2 linked regions of the Tamandua tetradactyla genome follow. The protein of the gene in region 1 purifies or fractionates together with the protein of each later gene. This does not show direct contact. Links are inferred from orthologs where the notes say so. Each region holds a gene or a part of one and is shown on either strand. Other genes may lie near its edges.

Region 1 (3,471 bases):
CCACTTGCTATGGACAAGAAGAGGTAGCCTGAGATACACATAGCCACCACCTCCACGGCAGTGGTGAAGAGCTTTGCTGGTTCACCAGGAGCCTGAAGTGAACAAAACTGAACAAGACAGACAAAGAGACAAGCTCCTGATCAAGGGACTGATCTTACAAGCCCCCCATCAGACTAAGGGAATCCAGAGACAGGGCACGCAGAAGGCCCTCCACCCTGCCAGTGGATGTCCACCCCTTGTGGGCCGGCCGCTATTTGTCCGAGCTTGGAAAACAGGCTCACATATTTTTAAAAAAAGAAGAAGGAAAAACAAACTTTATTTCAAACCACCTGCTTTGACTCACTTCCTCTTCTGCGGGGTAGAGCTGGAGTGGGCGTTTGGGGGCTCGTCCCGCGGGGGCTGAGGGGGGAGGATTTGGTCAGGCTCCGGCCAGCGAAGTCGATGCTAGAGACGATTGTTAATCTACTCATGCTGGTGCAGAACTGGCTTCAGAACACACTCGCCGCCCCGTGCGGGGCGTCGACACAGCGAACAGATGAAGTTGGCTAAGGAAGGTTGTTCATCCAAAAAGAAGAAAGGTGGAGCCAGGCTGCCGAGGGTCGGGCCGGAGGTGGGCCGGACGGGGGCACGAGGGGCCAGCGGGCAGACCAGGAGGTGCGGAGCCCCGGGGCCCGCGAGAAGGGCTTTCCGCGACACACCCCCGGGGCAGGAGGGCGGGGACGCGGCTGAGGGATTTCGTCCTCGTCGGGGCTCCCCGCCCCGCCCCGCCCGGGAACCAGCAGCCGCGGGAGACCAGTTTCAAAAGCGCCGCAGCTCCGCCTCCCCATCCCCAGGGTCAAGACCCCCAGCTACCCGGAACCGGAAATGGTGTGTCCGCCCGGAGTTGTAGCTTCCTGGGGCCGGAAGTGGAACCTGCGGCCGCCGGGAGCCGTAGTTCGCTGGGGCCGGAAACGGGTGCCGTAGCTCTCCGCGCCGCGGGGATTTTGGGCGGGCGGCTGTCGGCATGGCAGGGCTGGAGCTACTGTCGGACCAGGGCTACCGCGTGGACGGGCGGCGCGCTGGGGAACTGCGCAAGATCCAGGCGCGGATGGGCGTATTTGCGCAGGCCGACGGGTCCGCCTATATCGAACAGGGCAACACCAAGGCGCTGGCGGTGGTGTACGGGCCTCACGAGGCGAGTGGGCGTGGGAATGCGCGGGCCGGGCAGCTCCCCGGCGGGCACTGGGGCCACGCGGGGCCTCTCGCCCCTCCGCTCCCACGGTGGTCGTCGGCCCCCGTCCCGTGCGGCCTGCACTTCTCCTTGCTGTTGTCTGAGGTGTCGAGTGCTCGCCCTCGGTGGCGTCCGTACTCTCCCGGCTGCACCGCTCCCTCCTTCGCCCCTCTCAGGTCTGCTCCGAAGTCGCCGTCCCAGGGCCGCGTCTTCCCAGACCACCGTCTGCGCGTGGCATATACCCACCCCTGCCAGCATACACTTCCCATCCCCTTCCCTCCCATCGCCTTAGACATCAATTTTGACCTCCTCATCGTTTGTCTCCTCCCCTGGAATGTAATCTCCATAAGAACAGGGACTTTTGTGCCACTTGTTTTATTGCCCTATCGCTAGTGCCAGAACAGTGCCCGCCGTGAAAGCACCGAAGTAATGTCTGCTTAAGCGTGTGAGTCTAGGAGCTCAGCTGCCCTGGCGATGGGATCAGAAACATGAAGGCTGGAGGGGTGGGGACAAGCAAGGCATGTTTGCAGGGCACAAAGGCTGCAGGTGAGGGACAGGGTATAAATTCTAAGTGAGGTTGAGTGGTTTCAAAAGAGGAAAGGACTTGGGATTTTATTTTATGTTTGACGGAAAGCCTTTGAAAGGTAAGCATGAAATGAGTCAGACTTGATATTTGTAAGCATACTCAGGGTCAGGAAGCATGGTAACGGGAAAGCCAATTAAGGCATACACAGCCAGAGAAGACAGTGGCTTAGAAACTGGGGAGTGGCCTTTCCTGGGGGCATGCTTTGGAGGTAATGTAGGTGCTCCTTGCTGAGAGTTGGAGGTGGAGAGAGAGAGCTGAGGTAAGACTGTGAGTCACAGAACAGGATAGTGTGTACTGGGAAGAGGGGGCTGGCTCATGTGCCTTTCCTTCCCCCAGATCCGGGGCTCCCGGGCACGAGCTCTACCTGACAGGGCGCTGGTCAACTGCCAGTACAGTTCGGCCACCTTCAGCACCGGTGAGCGCAAGCGACGGCCACATGGGGACCGCAAGTCCTATGAGATGGGCCTGCAGCTGCGCCAGACCTTCGAGGCAGCCATCCTCACACAGTTGCACCCACGCTCCCAGATTGACATCTATGTCCAAGTGAGCAGGCAACAGCCCTCAGCCTGGATAGGAGGAACAAAGGGTAGGGAGTCAGCAGCCTCATGGACAAATGGCTTTGGTGTCCCTTTGGCAGGTGTTGCAGGCAGATGGCGGGACCTATGCAGCTTGTGTGAATGCAGCCACGCTGGCAGTGCTGGATGCTGGGATACCTATGAGAGACTTTGTGTGTGCCTGTTCAGCTGGGTTTGTGGATGGCACAGCGCTGGCAGACTTGAGCCACGTGGAGGAAGCAGCTGGTGGACCCCAGTTGGCCCTGGCCCTGCTGCCAGCTTCAGGCCAGATTGCGCTGCTGGAGATGGATGCCCGGCTCCATGAGGACCACCTGGAGCAGGTGCTGGAGGCTGGCACTCGGGCTGCCCATGCCGTGCATACGCTGCTGGACCGCGTGGTCCGGCAGCATGTGCAGGAGGCCTCCCTCTTGCTGGGGGACTGACCCCCAGCCATCCCCCAGAATAAAGCCCTGTTCCCCTACCTGGATGTGCCCCAGTGTTTCAATCCCCTGCCTCCTCACAGCACTTCCCTGCCCTGGTGCTGGCTTCTGGAGGTGACCTAGGACCCTCCCCCTTCATAGACACATACCTCTTGGGGTGTCTGGATTGAAGCCCTGAAAAGGAAGATGTAGTTGGGCCAGAAGAGGGGTCCCTGGGTTGAGAGAACAGTGTGTGCCGGGAAGGGGTCAAGGCAGCTTACCTTGGCAGGATGAGCCAGGCCATTAGACCACACAGTCTGTTATCCTCACACCAGCAGATATGGCCCTGGCTTCCAGAGCCCTAAGCACAGGGGCTGAGGGTGAATTCAAGGGGCCTTGGGTATCCACCATGGAGATAGGGGACTTCTCCCATATCCTCTGGACCACAGCTTGGACTGGCTGACCCCCTTCCCCTAGGAGCTCCTGGAGTGCATCTTAACCATTTATTTTGGGCTCCTAAAATACCACAGGCACCCATTCTCAACTGCAGTTTTCTCCCCTCATTTGCCCCCTAGACTGAGATAGACCCTCGCCCTGTCCTACCAAGGCAACCTCTGCTTCAGCAAGCTCCTCTTCCTCAGTCTCCTTTCTGAATAGGGGCACCACCTCCTCCTGCCCTCAACCCTTCCTGAGCCCCCGGCA
Region 2 (3,749 bases), on another chromosome or scaffold:
GATGAAGTAAATCCTTTCTAGGGATCTTTGTAAAGTGGCTCACTTTTTCAACAAAATGTTGGAGTATTTACTGTATGTAAAGCAATTTTCCAGCTACTAGAATAAATATAAAAAGCCCTTGGCCTTCCAGGGGCTTTAAAATTAGTAGCCGAGGCAGTCAAGTACTGCCCAAATTACACAGAAGAAAAAGGTGTGTTCAACAGAGGAAGCAATAGGTTTTGCAGTACAAAAGATAAACTGTGAATGGAGGTCATGTTTGGGTAGCTTAAATGGGTAATAAATGGGTAATTTTATTTCCTTAAACTCTATTACGTCACGTCTGAGAATTTTTCAATTATTTCCATGAATTTTTCAATTATTTCCATGAGAGTTCAAGGGAAAGCTTAACTGGGATGAAAAGAAATGAACTGAACCCCAAGATGAGCAGTATTAGAAGCAAGAAAAGGGGATGGACCTCCTATGCTATAGAACAGCTTTGGTTATGATGTCACCAATTGTTCCAAAGATAACATAACAACCTGACCTCAGGGGGTCAAGTGAGAAGATATTTAGCACTTACTCCCTTAAGCCAAGCACTACCTTCTCCAGGAAGGCTTCATTCATCCTCCCATCCCTGGCCCAACCCATTTTGAATTAGGCGTCCTCATTTACATAACTCCCATAACACTTTGCATTTTTTTGTTCCATCTTTCATGCTCTAGTCACTTGTTACTTGTATATGTCCCCTTTACTGTCAGTCCTCAAAGTTTAGAACAGGGTACAATAAGCACTCAATCAATGCTGGCTGAGGAAATGATAAATGAAAATTAAAGAAATAAATGATTGTAATTATACCTATCCATGTCCTTTACATCATGTTTGCAAAAATATCTCCCATTTCCCAGCTGACACTAGCCCGCAGCAATACCTAGACAACAAGTGTCTCCACTCTGAACTGAACAGTAAGAACCCAACATATGCCAGGTGGACCAGGTCACTGTCTCCAAATCTGGCAGTTGTGTGTTAGCTGCCCTCCAGTATAGTTAGAGGATCCTGATGCTCCTAGAATAGTCTACTGGGGGTGCCAGTAACAACCAACATAGTAAGCACTGCATGTTCTGCACTTTTCAAAGCAATAGGTCTTTCTCTTCTGCATTAGTTCATGTGTGTTTACATTTTTGGACTGATGTTTGATAATTCCTATAATTATCCACTGTGTAAGGAATGATGTTGTGTTTGTCCTAAAACTAATTCCAACTTCCTTTAAAGTTCTAGGGAACATTCACATACACATTGTTCTCGTGTTCTTTTCTTTATTCCATATTTTTAAAAAAATCATTAAGCCCATTTCCATTAACCCTTTCTTCTAGTACTACTTTTTTTCTCACTTGAAAGCACATTTACACTAAGCATAACCAGCCAAGACCTGATTATACACCTCAAGATCATCTGATAGACTTACTCCTTGGGTCTTTTCAATATGTTATGTTTTTACTGTCTCTTAAATTTCTAATTTAACTTGAAAAACCAACTCAAGTCAGGTTCTGCACTAATATGCACGAACGTTAATAAAACTTTTACCGTATAAACCTAATAAATACACCAAGTCAGTTGAACATAAGCATTAAGTCAATCTGTGTTTTACGAACTGGCAACCTTTCTTTCTTCTTTCTTTTTTTTTTTTTTTTTTTTAGGGGCAGGGGGTGACGGGTGGGGAAGGTCGGAGGAAGCAAGGAGAGACACGTGCCCGACCAGTGACGAAAGAACGGCGGTGGGGGGGGGTGTGTGTGATAAGATTTAACATGCATAAATATCACGGGATCCCAACCTCGACATATTCCATATGTCGCCATGCAGTACCTCCCACCCTAAATGTGATCAATTTCAGAAGGCTGAGATCATTAAGAAATGCCAGTCGCTGACACTCAGATGCCATGTTACTGTACCCCGCTGGGCCTTCCCCGAATTTCAGACTGGCACCACTGACGAGAAACTCACAGGTCGAAGTGGATGCCAACGAGGCTGGAACAGCAAAAATGACGTCCCGGCTCGGCCCTGCCACCTACCTTCATCGTAGTTATAGCCTCGGATATTCCGATGCCGGGCCATGACAGCGGAGGGGGCGCTGACCACAGCCCCCTACAAAACACCCGCTCAGATACTGAACAGGAGCCAACTGCGGCCCAAAACACACCTATGCGCCATCTTGGCTTCCGGCAGGCCTCTGCGCCGAGCGCCTGCGCACGCGCGACGTCTGATCGGACGGCAGCCGCTCAGGGTCCCTGCACGCCTCCAGCGGACGCATGCGTACTCACGGCTCCAGGCAGGCCCCTCCTTCCATGAGATTGACAGCGCGCACGTTGGCGCGGCCCCGCCTGTAAACTGGGTGACCGAGGTGGCTCAGGAGCTAAGTCCCGCCGAGCACAATTTGTTAGTTTAGATGGAAAGTCTGCAGCGGGGTCCTTGATTTCCCCCAAGGTTCCAGATCATTTGTCTTATCCACCTTTCATCTTTGTGGTTCAATAGGCATTCGATATTCACGGCTTCCGTGTGTGCGGGAGTCGCCATTAGTCTGCCCTTAGTCATGTAAACGCGTTTTATCCGCATTCCTGAAGGAGCGCACAGTGAGCGTTCGCGGAACACGTAAAGCCGTGTGACATCTAGGAACACTAAATATAGTATTTTAAACATAGCTCTGGTCTTAGGCGGCAGTAATGAATGTTTTGATGCGTAATTATGTAACCATGACCGACTGTTGGATGTTGGAACATAAGACGAATGATGCGCGGTAGGTATTTGCGACCGCATTATCACACTGGACAAAACAGCCTTGAGTTTCAGCTTGTTTTTCGAAATGTTGATAACTTTACCTGAAAGGCAGATGCAGAATTCTAATAAAGCTTACTTAACTTTTTATTATCCACAACGGAAAGAAGCAGTAAGAATAATACATAGTTAATTCAGATTTCATGAGTAGCTTGGAATGTATTGTGCATGTGCATTTGAACGTGTCTGACTACGAGATGTTTCTTCTTAATTGTTACTTCTGTTTAATGTACTCCAAGACAAAATTTTACCCAAAAGTGGAGATAGATGTTAAATTTATATGGCTTGAGTGTTTTATTTTGCATATTTAGATTACTTTTATGGCACAATCTGTTTCTTTGTAAAATGGAGATAGTAGTAGTAGTATCTAATAGAATTGTAACAAAATTAATGTATCTGTGTAAGAGGATTTAGCACAGATCATAGTAGGTGCTTTGAAATTATGCTATTACAATAAAAATAGCAGCTTCCAACCCTCCCCACCTCACCCTCTGTAATTGTCAATTTCAAACTCAAATACAACTCACCTTACTTTGAAATGAATGTATTATGAATAGATCACTTGAACAAAATACCAAGGAAGGGCTGAGGAAGGAAAGCATTGCTTCTGCCCCTTGGGTAGTAGTGCATTTGCCTCTTGGATCATCATTAATGTAACCGACAAAGGTCATGGATTCTTTTGCCTAGGCACTCAATAACAAATTGTGGAGACACCAGGGTTTCAAAGAGAGAAAGAGTTTATTACGAGGCAATAGTGAGAGAGCAGATGGCCTATGGGCCCAAAATTTATCTCCCCAAACTGCAGTCATTCTGAGAGTTTTATTATTGAAAAGGATGGGCAGGGTTTAGGATAATGAGCATAGTGGTCCAAGTTGTAATTAGAGGTGATCTAGTTATTAATATGCCTAGATTGATGACATGTTTAATCACAGGTAAGAAAATGG

The links. Proteins that work in one complex are often made in the same cells at the same time.
Region 2: the proteins of EXOSC4 (region 1) and HBS1L purify together in Homo sapiens (affinity purification with mass spectrometry; 3 studies listed by BioGRID and IntAct, with this or other methods). This does not show direct contact. The link is inferred for Tamandua tetradactyla from reciprocal best matches to the Homo sapiens genes EXOSC4 and HBS1L.

Annotation. Positions count from the first base shown.
Region 1 is NC_135332.1:82,575,839-82,579,309, reverse strand, and holds EXOSC4 (exosome complex component RRP41), read left to right. Parts: upstream 1-892; 5' UTR 893-1,003; coding exon 1,004-1,174; intron 1,175-2,132; coding exon 2,133-2,339; intron 2,340-2,433; coding exon 2,434-2,793; 3' UTR 2,794-2,831; downstream 2,832-3,471. UniProt on the Homo sapiens protein: Non-catalytic component of the RNA exosome complex which has 3'->5' exoribonuclease activity and participates in a multitude of cellular RNA processing and degradation events.
Region 2 is NC_135351.1:35,359,551-35,363,299, forward strand, and holds the start of HBS1L (HBS1-like protein), read right to left. Parts: upstream 2,240-3,749; 5' UTR 2,089-2,239; coding exon 2,046-2,088; intron 1-2,045. UniProt on the Homo sapiens protein: GTPase component of the Pelota-HBS1L complex, a complex that recognizes stalled ribosomes and triggers the No-Go Decay (NGD) pathway.